4 linked regions of the Drosophila melanogaster genome follow. The protein of the gene in region 4 interacts with the protein of the main gene of each other region in a pairwise test. Each region holds a gene or a part of one and is shown on either strand. Other genes may lie near its edges. The genes, in order: CG17666, CG4676, Dpm3 and CG12679.

Region 1 (5,495 bases), on a different chromosome or scaffold from region 4:
CAAGCAAACCACATTACATAACGTAAAGGGCAATATGCAAGCCAAACTCAGTTTAAATCTATGTTTAAAGGAGGAAGCGGGAGAACCCAGATCCATATATCATGTGCTAGAATTTCTCCGTAGTTTTAATGCCTATTTTCTTATTTAACAATCTAATATTCCCCTATTATTATATTATAAACATACCATACAATATTGATGGCTGCACTACACAAACATGTTTACAATGTGCTATGTTCATAGTTTTTAGTTAGGTCTTTTCTAAAACAACTTTAAAGATGTATTTAATTTTATGACAAGAAATTTATATTTTAAAGAAACTTTTTAAGTTTTTCTACAAGCAAAGCCCACAAAACTTTCGAAAAAATCTATATATGTATATGGTATACAAAAGAGAGAAACACATAAAAGAGTGTATAAAATGAAAAAGAAACAAAATACCGATTTGAACTAATAAAAAGTACTAAGGAAAATCGTAGAAATATGCCTGTTTTTAAATTATAAACAATTAAAAAGGAAGAGAAAAGTGCATTCCAAAATGTTCTTTATTTTGAGATAGGCTTGTGTGAAAATGTAAAAAATATTCAACGTTTAATTTAGACATGGTGCACGCGGCCGATGTTGAAAGGAGGACCTTGGTTATTCCGTTGATAGTTCCGATGACTATCCACACAGCCAGCCTTCCACCGCCCACTGTATGGAGAGCTGAAGTGTGGCGAGGCAGTCGGAGAATAGCCCGGCATGGTTGAAACCTCTTGCCTTGGGCATTTCCAGGGTGCAAACGTAGAAGGCGGAGCACAGCTTCCCAAACTCACAGCCGTGCCGCCGGAATTTCGCGTGCTATTGGACGATCTGTCTTGCCTTTCCTTTTGCTTCGGCTTCGGAGGAATCTTCTCCAGCTGAGCAGCAGGGGAGTTGCTGCAACAGCAACCGCACGGACTGCAGCAGTAATTGCAGCAATTACGACAGCCATTGCAGCAATTCGCGCAGTAGTAGTAACAGCCGGTGCAGGGATTATAGTACCAGGACCAAGGACATTGGTTCGAGCAGGGCATGCAGCAGGTATTTACTGGAGCTGGAGCATGATTGCAGGGTACTGGTGGAGGATTCGAGGGTGCTGGTGGAGGATTCGAGGGTGCTGGTGGAGGATCTTCGTTTTCCCTGCGAAACGCATTAATTACTCCTTGATGGAAGTGGACAGAAGTGGGTACTCACTCAGGCAAATTGGCAGAGCAGCCGCAGGTGCGCATTTCTTTTGTCGGAGGCGTTGGACATGGTTTCTTGCAGTTACACGGGCAGTGGGCATCCTCGTCTTCTGGTGTTTCCTGTGGTGATGCTACGGTACCTTCTATTTCGTTGCTGCTGTGCTCGCTCATCTTGTTCTTGACTTTTGAGCCATTCGATTTCTTATTCTTCTTGGCAGACGGTTTCGCTTGCTTTTTGCTCTTGTCCTTGTCCTTCGGCATCAGGAGGTGACACCACTTCTGCAGGTCACACGGAGGACAGGACTCGGTGAGGCTGCAATGGATACGGAAGACATTACTTCGTGTTCGATTAAAGATGTGTGCCGAATGGTGGATTGAGTAAGCCTAATTCGAGAGCTGTAATAGCTCACGAACTCTGACATTAAACTCACCGGCTGAGAAGCTCAAGGCAATTCTTTTCCTGCGTCTTCTTTTTTCCAGAGTTCACATTTTCTTCCGGTGGACAATCAGATTCTTCGGAAACGTAATGAGGATAGTATTGATTGTTGGGATCGAACCGAGTGCAGCAGCATTTAGTGGATTTCTCCTTCGATGGTTTAAAGCTTGATGGAACTTTATTCGAATTTTTATCCTTTTTGGGTCCTGCCTTCGATAAGTTTGGTGCACTTGCTGCTTGCGTTCTATTCACGTCATGTCCTGGCTGAGCATAAAAAGGATTATGGTCTTGGACAAATGTGGCATTAAGTGGAGCGCATTCATTGTACGGATAATACTGATTGGATGGATCAATGCCCATGCCCACCCTCTGCTGGTCATAAAGTACGGGTTGTCGATTGGTAGGTGCTCCTACAGATTTATTACGATTTCTTGAATCGTACGATCTGTTGTTATCACGAGAACGCACTTCACCAGCGGATGCCATTGACTTGGGCGCGGACCTATGATCTACATTTCTATCTCCACCACTATTAGAATGATAATTGGTTGTGGCTCTACTGGCTTGTGGTTTTCCGGAACGACCTTCCCTCGACTCATTTCGGTGACTGAGCGACTTGGACCTCTGAGCACCTGGACTAGCATGAACATTTTCAGGAAAATTATTATTGGCATAAGCTCTGCCTGATCGATCTCCCCTAGATGGGCTTCGTTGATTTGGAGATTTAGATCTGTTGTTACCATGAGGCAGTTGCCCCTTTGATGACTCCAATTGGGGAACTGGCCTTGAATGTGTGGCTTGACTCTGCTGGTTATAGACTTCAGATCTGTTAGCACCAACATGAACTTGATTCGTTGATTGGGGAACAGTATAGCTATAATTCTGATTGTTGGGCTCACAGTTCATTGGTTGATTATTTCGGCCATAAGCTGGTGCACTTCCTCCTGAGGTAGGAGTGACTGGCATTTGATTTATTGGACGTTGTTGGAATGTTGCATCGAATGGAATATACTGACTATTGGGGGCACAGCTCATGCCTAAACCCTGTATAAATTGATTATAGGAAGGTACTTGCGCCGTTCCTTGTGGCCTTCCAGGTGGCATTTGGCGATCTCCGCATTGGTAGACTTCTCCGGTACAGGGATTAAACTTATTTGTGTACTGTGTGGGTAGACCTGCCGCTGGAATAGATCTTGGATCACCCTGACCTACCGAGGATGGTGGAGCCACTGGTAGAACTATGGGACCAGGTACACCAAAGCCTCCATATTGAGTCGGTGGCGGGATACCAAAAATCATTGGATTTCCTGTCGGTCCGTAAGTTCCATAACACGGAATAATAGTCGGTTGTCCCGGTTGGAAGCCAAAGCCTGTTCCGTAGGCTCCAGTTCTAGCTAGATCGTCTTGCGCGCAATCTTCAGGATTCTTGCATCCATTCTTACCATCTTGACATGGATTCTCACAACTCTCCGCACATGCATCCATGTTTAAACACGGATCCTTACAATTGTCCCCACAGGCTGAGCAACTTTTCGATCGTTTCCTTTTCTTTGGGCGCTCTGGCGTCTTTAGAAGAAAACTGGGCGGCACCATGTCCGAAAACTTTTGGAACTCCCCAGAAAACACGACGCGACAATTCCTCATATTAGAGGAACAAGATCGCTCACAGCAACTTGGTCGAGGACAGCACCTGCGGATGAGTATAAATGCAATTGGGTTGAGACACTAACTATATTCTTATACTTACCAGCCATTGCCATGGCAGCTTATGCACCTCCTTAAATATCGACATGGATCGCACATTTTCAACTCCTGGTTCTGTTTAAAAGTCCACCTTCACTCATGGTCAATTACGAAGAGTACACAAACATAACATCGGTAGTCAAAATCATAAAAAAGTAGAAGTAAATGGTACAATTTATATTTTTGATGTCCTAAACTAAGACTATATTGTTAAAATCATTGCATGATCAGTTGTGATAAAACAACGTTTTGAAAGTGGTGCTACCATCTTCATATATGTGTTCTTTACAGATTATAATATGATATGAATATAAGAGAAACCTTGTAAACAAAAAGACTTCCTTGGTTTATTTAACTTACTATTTATGTCGACCAAAACTCTCTTTTTAGTTTTGGTCAAAAAAATGACATTACAAAATTCTTTGTCACGCCAAAAAACAAATTTAAACGGAAGCATTGTATAACTGAGACAAAAAATTGTATTTGGGAAAAAAGAAGAAATGCCCAATGACGGAGTCAAGTCAACCAGGCCCAGTCCCTATTGGCGTCATGCGAGTCCTCCTCCGAGGAGGAACATAGCATCGGAGCAATACAGCAATCGAGTCGGACAGCAGCTGGTGCGAGCCCTGGCTCAGAGCTTACCGTCTGGACAGGAAGCCGTGCGTTCCCGATCATCCTGCCCACCAACACCTCGTCGTCGCCGGCAGGCAAGTGTCTGCAGATCGATGGGAAGTCCAGAGTTTGTGCCATTGATGTCGCACAGTAAGCCCAAGGCATCGGTTCGATTGAAGGCGGGTATGCCGGTGAAACCAGTGTTGGGAGGAGATCCACCCAATTCAAAGACTCCTGGTCAGTCTATGATGGCCTCAGCCAAACGTCGCAATGAATCCCCCACAGTGAAGGCAAAAAGCAGGGAAGAAGAGTTCAATAAGATACCAGAGCTGGTTAGTGAGGCATCCGTCGCCAAGGCCAGAGAAAAAGAGTTCGAAAAGATACCTTCCGGAGTTCCGAGTTTGACCGAAGAAAACAAGCAAACAGAAGTGAAAGACACAAATAATTCAATCCCGGAAACGCATGAGAACTTGAAACCGGAAACGAAAACCAATTTTATAATAGAGGAAGAAAAGCCCACAGAATGTATACCAGAAACGGAACCGAAGCCATCGAACTCGAAGATAATTCCCTGCTTTCGAGGAGAGTATCCCACACGACATCGTCCTGGTACTTGCCAATGGTTTCAATCCGACGTCCCCAATTGCGGAAATATCGTGACCATATGCGATGAGGAACACCAAATTATGGGTGAAGCGGAAATAGTCACCGCTTGCCAGGTTACCGAAGCACATTTCCTCAGCCTCGATTGTGAAAATGATAACATGAACAACGAACCGCCATCGATTTCGAGGTGCAATAAGTGCACGGGTTGTCCGCAGCAACAGAATGGTAATTGGTTTGGACAGCAACGATCTTGTCCTCAGCAGCAACAACCTTGCTTTCAACAGCAACAACCGTGCTTTCAACAGAAACCATCTTGCTTGCAGCAGAAACCATCTTGCTTGCAGCAGAAACCATCTTGCTTGCAGCAGCAACCATCTTGCTTCCAGCAACAGCAACGAAATTGTGGACGAAATCCACCCTGTCCCAATGTGAAACCAAAAGGATGTCTCAAGTGTCAGGAGCAGCAGCAGTCTGGCAAAGCATTTGCATACAATTTGCAGCAGTCGATGCAGCAGCAAGTTCTGCCGCAGATGCAGAATGTGTATCCTTGTCAGCAGCTTCAGCAAGTGAATACCTGTGATCAAATGGAACAACAAATGCAACAGCAAGGCATTGAGGAGAACAACTATGGCCTGACCGAAATGCTGGCCGAGGAGCTAAGAAAGCAAATGCTCGAGGCTCAGGCGCAGATTGCACAAGTGCAACTGCAGTTGAATAGCGCGTGTGGAGCCACAAGAGTGCGACAGATGCATGTGCTGTCCCAAAATGCCACTGACGTCCCACGTTGGGCGCCAGAAACTCAGTTTATTGATGTACTGGCAGAGGAACACGACGTGGGAGATGCCCAACCAGATGAAACAATGGAAAACGGCGAAGAGGATCAGGGATTTAAC
Region 2 (3,505 bases), on a different chromosome or scaffold from region 4:
TATACTCACGCTTCTCGTTCGCGGTGGTAGCTACGAAAAGGCGACCGAAGTCTTCGCCCACATTGACAAGAACCAGCACAGAATTCCCGGAACACCAAGCCTAAATGCTCTGATAGAATTTGTGGACGCAAGTGTGCAGGAGAAGTCACCCAGCCAGGCGCTGTTTGCCCTGCAATATGCCGTTGAGAACAACTTTGATTCCAGGGAGTTAGCCAAACGTATTCATGAAGGATTTACCCTAAATGAAACACACCTGTCTAAGCTGAAATCGCTCGTAGGCGAAAGTTTCCTCGATAAGTAGTAGAGTCTTTTGTAAATTATATAATGAACGCTGTTAAATAAATAACCATTTAATAAATACTTGTTTGGTTTCATTAAACAGATTAATTTAATACATATAATAGACATTACTGAATGAATACACAGTATTCTAAATATTTTGTAAAGCTTTATGTTAATAAAAGGCTTTGTACTATTTTAACTTGTAAGCTGATCAAATGTGTGACTTGTAAACATTAAAAATTAATTTCCATTGGTCAAGTAGAGAATAGTAAGACGTATAAATTTGGATACTATTTCCAATTCAGATGTTGACTAGTGAGTCTTAAAATAAACAATACTGATTTTGTTATGAAGTAGATATAAGTAAATGCCTCTAATGAATGTCAAGAATGGGTAAGACACAATTCAGATCTATTCCTCCTTTGGAGAAAAGGCGGCTATGGGTTCCCAGTTCATTCCGTCGTGTGGCAGATCGCTGCGTAGAAACGGCGACAGCCAGGTGAGATGCATTCTCTTGCCCAGAACCATCTCCAGGTTACCCCGCAAACCGCGATCGTACTTTCTTGTGCCGCGCTCTCGTGTCACCGAACCGCTCTTGAATATCGACCAGTGGAAGACAAGGAGCAAGGATGATATGGCGAAGCCCAGAAGGGTGAGATCATATATGACCAAGTAGAAGGACTCCCAGCTTGGAGACAGCATCAGGCTAACCACGGGAGCAAATATGGTGAACAGCGTAGACCAGCGCCAGTAGATGTCCAGATGGAGATGCCACAGATAGATGCTCTCCATGATGGCGGCCGCCAAGGATCCGATGATCATGTAAACCAGGTAGTAGAAGAAGTACCTGTAGTTGTGATGCCCGATGCAGCAGCAAGTGAACCGACAGTGGTGGTCCCGCTTCAGCACGCACACGTTGCACACTTCGCAGTGCCAGGATCGAGGTGGCACCAATGTCTGACAATCCTGGCAAGAGTGCCACCGTGCCAGCTGCGCCGCATCCAACGGTGGCTTCAGCAGCTCCTCTATAAAGACAATCTTAGAAGGGATACCACAAAATCACTGCTTGCTACCCACTGCGGATACTAGTGTCCACAAGCATGCAGGCCAGCATGTTGGATGTGATGTTGAAGATGAGGAACAGGCTGGCCAACCATAATAACGTGTACCAAATCCCTCCGATGGCAAACAGTTCCGGCATAACAATGGTCACATGGAAGATGTATGTCACGGGCACAAAGACAGCCACCAGGAGGAAACATGCGAAATCCGAAATGGAACGAGGTTTAACGCGATCCCACGAGCGCAAAATCATCATGCTCCCGTTATTTTTTGTACCCCCCAACTGAGACAGTGCTGCAAAGCGATTTTTGGCTCTGCTGCTAACGGTAAGACTGTTAAGTCGAGTATGGTGAAACGGTTAGAACACAACTCTTTACGTTAGGAAACCCGTAAAATGTTAAATAAGATTGAATTTAACAGAAGCAATCCGGTTTTTAAAGAACACAAATGATTTAATTTAAAGAAATATAAATATATAAGGTAATAATAAGTAACTTAATACGAATAAATCAAATGTCATAAACGATGGTATATTAAAGGAATACAAATGTTATAAGCTTAAGTTCTTAAGTTTGCTTTATATTATTACATAAAAACTTGAAATTAAAAATAAAATTTTATTTGAAATTAAAGAACGACTTTATAATGGGGATTTCTACTGTGAAATTACAAAAACAAAAACCATACAAAATTGATAAGGCATAGCGCTTCGATGAAACTTTGCTTTGTTTTTTTTCTTGGAACTTTTAAAGGCGATTCAATTAATATATACGTGTGCATAATAGGTTGGGGTTTTTTTTTGCGGATTATCGAAAACCATATGACGAACGAGACAATAAAATAAAAGAATATGTTTAACTAAACAATGTAAAGTTTTAAATTGTGAAAAATAATCATTTCCTTGATGTAGAGTGCAAGCAGGTATAAAACATTGCCTAGCCTAGGTGCACTGTTCTTTTTATATTACTTTAATAATTTTTTTCTTTTTTAGGTTTTAAAATTTTGGGAGCGAACTAGTTCGCAGTAAAAATGAATTCGTGTAGCTAGTAGTTTATACATATATACCAAATGACTTTTACTGACAATAAAACAAATTAATAGGCAAAGTAATTTAAAAATGCACAAATTATATGGCACGAAAAACGTTTAACATCGTTTCGCTTCGCGAGTTTTGAAAATAGCTGAAGAATCGTAGCTAGAAAGCAGACGATTTGGCATCCCTGGCAGCAGTTAATCAAACCACTTGCGACCGTAAAACATTCCAAATGCTTCGGTGAAGTTAAATCTTATCGCAGCAGAGCAGTCGCGTTCCACATCGCATTCCGTACGAATCGCAGCCGCAACCGATCCCGCAAATTGGGTAGATCCGCAAAATGTCGGCGACGCACCTGGTGATTCTGGCCGTCGCTCTGCTGGTGGACATCGCATCCGCGGGCGTTCCCCTTCCGCGATACGAGGCGCTCCTCAAGCAGCAGTCCCCTCCATCGGATCCCACACTGGGTCTCTACGACGACGGGGATAAGGTTATCCGCCTGTCGGTCGACAACTTCAATGCTACCGTCCTGGACCAGAATCGCGGAGCATTAGTCGAGTTCTACAACACTTACTGCGGCCACTGTCGCAGATTCGCACCCACGTACAAGTCGGTAGCGGAGCACCTGTTGCCCTGGTCCGAGGTGCTCATCGTGGCGGCCATCGATTGCGCCGCCGAGGAGAACAATGGCATCTGCCGCAACTACGAGGTGATGGGCTATCCAACGCTACGTTATCTGGGCCCCGGTTTCCAGCCGGGTCCTCAGCATTACGGGCAGAGCCTGCATACGCAGGATAAAAACGAAATCCGCGAAATACTAGCGGGTATGGTGGCCGCAGAGAACCTGACCAGCAGCCACAACAATTCCTACTGGCCAAACTTTCACTACTTAACGGAGAACGATTCAGCCAGCAGTTTGTTCGAAGGTCTCAGCAGCGCCACGGAGTACGTGGCAGTGGTTCACGAACCGGAGAACACCACTCTAGGCGTCGAGGTGGCTCTGTTCATGACCCAGTGGCCAGCGGTGAGGGTCCGGCGCGTCATCGATCCAGCCGTGGCCGCCAAATTCAAGATTGATCCGACCAATCTGCCCCTCAGCTTGGTGGATCGCAAAGGTGAAATTACGGC
Region 3 (2,806 bases), on a different chromosome or scaffold from region 4:
TTCTTGAAATTTATTTCTATTTTCAAACTATTGTCCGCCATTAAAAAAAAAATTACACAAATTAACTTCAAATGGCTATTAATCGGTTTATATTGGATCTTTTGAGTATCACAACATTCAGCTTCGCAATTATAACTCCTTCCAGTATTTTGCAGAAGAGAAAATTAAAGTTTTGAAACAGTATATTTTTTTCTCTTTCGCATTGTAATTAAGAGAATTTTAAAAAAATTGATTTATTGGAAATAGATAGCCAAAGCATGGATTTGCAATATATGGTTCGCACTTACGAGTTTTCCATATACCATGTTCATTAAGTAAAAATATGTTTTCCGTAAAGAATATTATTAATCTCTTTAAACGTATTTTACCTCATATACTTTTTTAGTTTTCTTATATTTTTTATTTTGAGTAATTCACAGGGGAGCTAAGCCAATTAAACATAAACATATTCCATACTTTTTCAAGCATATCCTTTCAAAACCTCAACATAATTTGGCCACCAAACTTCCGACACCTGGGGAAATCAGCCCCCAACAACGCGTCCGCCCACACAAAATGCGGTCTAGAGTAAATTTGCGTAATTTTTGTTTTTATAAATAATGGAATTACAGATTAACATGCACAAGTCCTACGAGCTGGAAGTCTCCTAATCTCGAAACCGAAATCCCTTGGCTATCAAATCCTTGCGAGCCTCCTGAATTTCATCCTGCAGCTCCTTGGCGGCCTCGGGACAATCGTTAAAAGTCAGAGTTCTATATAGAACAGTCCAAACGGAATATATCTGTGGGTAATATATAGTAGTAGTCAATAAGAGGTGTTATCTGCATTGATTCATATCCAAAAACTCACTCCAAAAATCACGAGGAGCAAAAGTGGTAAAAGCTGAATGTGCAGGAAATACTTGGTAGTTAGTGGCGTTTGCACTGTTCCCAAAACAACGGAGAGATAGGGAATCGCAAAGAGCGATGCGTAAAATAGCCAGCGTTGTAGATTTGTCATAGCTAACGAAATTTATTGGTAAACAAAACTAAACCGAAAATAAAGTTCTACACGTAAACATAGAGCTGGAACTTAAGCCGATGGTCACCCGGTAATTCGATATCGATATTTACCGGCTACTATCGATAGGAGGTTTACCTATTCAAATCTAGTTAGAGGTTTTCCTATTCATGTCTAGTTGGAGATTTTCTAATTAGTAATTCGTAGCCTGACGGCTTCCAGTTAGACATTGTTTACTTTTCTAATTGGCTAACTTAAGTGTGACCAAGCCCTAAGCACGTGCCATAGCACAAAGCTATCCACAGTCAGCAAATCAAATGCCATACTACTCAGCTAAACACAGTCAGCAATTTATCGATAGATCAAAGTTGCGCCATAACAGCCAGCCTTCTACAGCCAGCAATTTAAATCAGAGTAATCGATTGACGCAGTTTCAAACTTGTTAAAACTAAGTTTTAATTAAACGTTGGTGGGCGTGGTTTCTGCGGCGCCCACTGTACACGGCGTGTTGGCAAGCAGGTCAGCGGTTCGGCAGCCAATTATTTGGAACTTGACCTCGTTCGCGGGCAAGTCGCCGCCAACAAAGAGTTTCGGCTGGCTGCTCAAGGCCCACAGCTCCTCCTCTCCCTTGGAATTCCTGTTGATCTTGAGGCCCGTGACGAACTTGATCTTGTGCGGATTGTAGGCCACCACACGCAGGTCATCCGCCGTGTAGTTGGACACGGACTCCTCCCATTTCACCAGCGCCCCTAAACTGATGAGGCTGCAGTAGAGATTCCCCGACTGATCCATCACCTCCGATTCGCACTGGATTCCTCGGGTGCCCAGGCTGTGGAAGCTATCCCTGCTGGCATTCGCAGACTTCCAGAAGGTCTCGTTGTTGATCAGGGAGAGCGGAACCCTCATCTCATTAAAGGAGTTCAGCGTGTGAAAGTACAGAAAGCGGTCTGTAAATTTGCATTGGAAATTATAAATAATTTTTGAGTATTTAGAATTTAAATTGAATAGCTACCTTCCACTTCGCTGGGACTGAGGCTCACTGTAAATATTCCCGCCTGCGAGTTGCTGGAGCGTCCTAATCTCAGCAAGGGCGACGGCTTCATGGACTCATGCTCTATGCGCCAGGATCGTCCCGTCAGGGAGTCAAACACGATTAGACCATAACCCCAGGCATCGGCTATATACGCTCTGCCGCCAACACATCGGTTGGGTGTGCCCCTCTCGGCCAGATCCACCACCAAAGCCGTGAAGATGGATACGCTGGGAATGTAGGAATCGGGCGGAAGTGCGTGTCGTTGGACTAGTTCGTCCTTCACCAAATCAAATGTGAGAATTTGTGGCGGGCACAACTGCAGGGAGTTTACCTGCCCTGAATCCACCACCCAGAGTCGCCAGCACTCGTCGATCTGGGAGAAAACGATAAATATTCATGAAATATCTTCTGTTGGGAAAATATGCTTTATTACTTACATAAGTCCTAATGGCTGAGGTGATGCCGGAGCAATTGTTGGGTGGCACGTGCCACTCCTCGTTGGGATACGGTTCCAGTCTGGGATTCTCCACCAGCTCATTGTGCTCCGCAATGACGGTGGCCAGTGTGAAGGGTGTGGCCATCCCCAGTCGCGGAATCGTGAGAAAGGTGCGATGCCTGCCCTCATCGCCGTACTCAATGTCCACATCCACCGGCAGAAAGCGATTGCCCTTGGACAGATCGTCGCCCAAACTGAGGTTCGTCCACTGATGCAGGGTGTGCAGCTCCTTGAGGACCAATGCCTGGCCCTGGACTGCACAAAATAATGCGAGCAGG
Region 4 (2,949 bases):
ATCCGGCTCCGGTTACTGCAGAAAACGGCCGACAATCTTGGACAACCCATTGGGTGCATTTTTCAATAGCTACTTTCTTGTCGTTTTCCGAAACAATTTTTAATTCCGTTGGTCGTCTTAATGTTAGACAACATTTATGGCGGGATAAATTGGAGGTGTTTTTGTGTAAAAATTTGAGCACTTTCTGGCATTGCCTGCAGAACAGCCATCCGTCCAGAACAGTTTCATCTTCCTTTAAAATGTCACATAAAATGCTCCAAATAACACTTTTTCCTTTATGTTTATTGGCAACTGAGTATGTTCCATTGTTAATTTTATTTTTAACGAAATCAGCCGCTTCTGCCATTATTGTGACCTTTTCCTTTGGCTTCCAAATAATACTGAATCCTAACAAGCTAGTAATTGCATCGTAAAAAACAAAAAAGGGGCAATTAACAGCCGAGACACTGGACCAAAGACACAAGAACTCAACAATCATTATGTATGGCGCCATTTGACTCGACTACCTACGAGACCACTCGAGTATTTTTGGAAACACCCGAGTATTTTTGGAAACACCCATGTGTTTAACGGTATACCCACAAGTGTTTTTCTCACTCATCCCTTTTTAGGCACTGTGTGAGCGGCACCCGCGACGCAAAACACCGTATTGATTCGGGTGCGCACACAACGGGGTGTCTTGTCTGCATGTTCAGATTTATACTGTGTGTTTGTAAGTACCCGCGATGTGCGTGGCGAGTAGCACCCGCACACAAAATTGTAGGGTGTGAGTCGAGTGGTAAAAAAGTGCCACCCTTGCAGTTCTCTGACTGGAAAACCATGAAAATGTCCTTGCCAGCTAAATGCCACTCTCTCTCACACACACACAACCACACACACACGTCCAATGCAGTGCGGGAAATTTCTTGGTATAAACTTAATAATGCATCGGGGCAAATAAAGGAAAAAAGCAAAAGAAACAACGGCAAGTCGGAAAGCCAACATAAGTTTTGGGGCTAACTTGTTATTTTTGTAATTGGCACTTTGCAGTTTTATTGAAGCGTTGGAGCCCCGAAAAGGGCGCTCGGGATTTTGGGGGTTACCACTCCCGTCCTTTGTGCGGATCAAAATCCAGATTGGTTATTTATATACTGCGTTCGTTCAGGTGTTGTGATCGATGTTCTGATGCTGCCTCCCTAACCACTCAGCCGGGAGTGACTCAGTGACCCTGCCGACATCCATCCCTGGTCGTAATCTGAGGTGGCCAACGTTAGCCACTTTGGCGATGAGCAGCCTTTGTCCCCTTGGCATACTGGCTGCACTGGCTTGGTTATTGGTTATATTTGGTTCAGGAACTTCGGGATTTGAAGTGGGTTTGGATTAGACAACGAATGATTGCAACGAAGGAAGGGTATGCAAGCATACTTCATAATGAGGATTGTTAGTCCTTGTAGCCATTTTAATTCTCATGTTGTATGTCGTAAAAGGTAAAAGGTATAAGTATTTGAATAAGAACGAGAACCCGATACATTTGTGTATTGCTTATGATATGGCCATTTTAAATCTCAAAACATTTATCTAGCAAAACTGAGTTGATAAATCGATTAAACAGAGTTGGCCTGGACTCGGTCTTCAATGTTCTGCCAGTGGGAGTCATTTGGATTCAGTCATTCCAGACCCCAGTCTCAAGGTAGCAACTTTCAAAATTTTTAGTTCCTGTGTTCGTAACAAATAAGTGAAATCGCATATCGTGATACCAGACTGACAGAATCGATAGAATTCTCGAAGGAACGAAGAGAAGCGCCGAAAATGCATGTGGTGGGGGCACTGGTCAATCTGCTGCTGATCTTGGCCTGCATTTACACGATGACCTCACTGACCCCGGCGGACCATCCGTATGCCTTCCTGGCGGCATCCTTCAGCCTGGTCCACGGAGTGCTGGGCGTGGTTCGCTCCTTTGCCAACGAGCCCGACGAGTGCGGACGCACCTTTATGATCTCAGCCATCATACTGGAGGTTATCCCGCTGCCACTGGCGAACATCGAGTTCTACCTGGTATCCGATCAGTCGGGAGTGGCGCTGGTGCACGGCCTGTCGTTGATTCCACTGTTCTACGACATGATCGGCAAGATCAGCGAGGACTGGGACAGCTCCACGGAGACGCTGATGGACCTCGCTCTGTTGGGCAACATCGGCTCCACGTTGTATCTGGCCATCAAGGACGGCAACCATATCTACTTCGGTGTGGCTGCCACCGCGCTCCTCGCCAGATACGGCGGTGCAATTGTCGATAGCTGCAACGAGGGCCTTAGCAACGTTGTAGAGACTCTGGGAAACACCGGCATCCTGGCCCTTATGACCTACGCACTCACTGAGGGCTAATTGCTAAAACTTAAATTTGATCGGTTCGCGAAATAAAGCCAAGATGATGAATCAGCATTTGAAATTGGTTGAGCCAACTATCATTGAATACAAGGCACTAGGGATTTGTAGTTTGGGGATATGAATTACAAATCTACAATGAGAAAGGAATAAGCAATATAGCACTACTATATAAGCCATAAACCATGTCAAGGGTATACAGACTTCGGTGTGCTGCGGCTAACTAGCCTCACTCACTCGCGCGACTTCAAATTGCCAACTTAGTTGTTATTTGTTCGCTGTCTGGCTGAAGGGGCAGCGCGAAAAAGACGCGGTTCAAGGGCCGAAGGACGACGGACGACGGACGAGGGACGAAGGACTGGGGTCTCAGGACGAGGGACTCAGGAGGGCAGAGAAGGAAAGGGACGGGGCAATATTCGTGGACGCAGCACTGTGATGGCTCTCACGTCACCACTTCAGCAAATTGCGGCAATAATGCAACAAAGGTTTCTTGGGAAACACATACCAAATTGCATAAGCAAGGCAAGGCAAGGCAAGGCCACGGAAGCGGGGTGGTGTGGCCCGCTTCCTTGGGGCGGTGCTGGTGGT

Evidence for each region.
Region 1: the proteins of CG12679 (region 4) and CG17666 interact in a two-hybrid assay, tested with the Drosophila melanogaster proteins (one large-scale study listed by BioGRID).
Region 2: the proteins of CG12679 (region 4) and CG4676 interact in a two-hybrid assay, tested with the Drosophila melanogaster proteins (one large-scale study listed by BioGRID).
Region 3: the proteins of CG12679 (region 4) and Dpm3 interact in a two-hybrid assay, tested with the Drosophila melanogaster proteins (one large-scale study listed by BioGRID).

Annotation. Positions count from the first base shown.
Region 1 is NT_037436.4:12,779,411-12,784,905, reverse strand, and holds CG17666 (uncharacterized protein), read right to left. Parts: upstream 3,582-5,495; 5' UTR 3,445-3,581; coding exon 3,389-3,444; intron 3,332-3,388; coding exon 1,637-3,331; intron 1,603-1,636; exon of another isoform or gene 1,519-1,602; coding exon 1,216-1,518; intron 1,162-1,215; coding exon 597-1,161; 3' UTR 529-596; downstream 1-528. Other genes in the region: CG10969 (uncharacterized protein), read left to right, coding at 3,885-5,495.
Region 2 is NT_033778.4:13,234,110-13,237,614, reverse strand, and holds CG4676 (uncharacterized protein), read right to left. Parts: upstream 1,636-3,505; 5' UTR 1,601-1,635; coding exon 1,360-1,600; intron 1,308-1,359; coding exon 694-1,307; 3' UTR 560-693; downstream 1-559. Other genes in the region: CG4679 (uncharacterized protein), read left to right, coding at 1-301; Qsox1 (quiescin sulfhydryl oxidase 1), read left to right, coding at 2,718-3,505.
Region 3 is NT_033777.3:13,401,990-13,404,795, forward strand, and holds Dpm3 (Dolichyl-phosphate mannosyltransferase subunit 3), read right to left. Parts: upstream 1,063-2,806; 5' UTR 1,000-1,062; coding exon 850-999; intron 782-849; coding exon 647-781; 3' UTR 570-646; downstream 1-569. Other genes in the region: yellow-e3, read right to left, coding at 1,459-1,946, 2,012-2,405, 2,470-2,806.
Region 4 is NC_004354.4:20,375,232-20,378,180, reverse strand, and holds CG12679 (uncharacterized protein), read left to right. Parts: upstream 1-1,658; 5' UTR 1,659-1,788; coding exon 1,789-2,361; 3' UTR 2,362-2,417; downstream 2,418-2,949.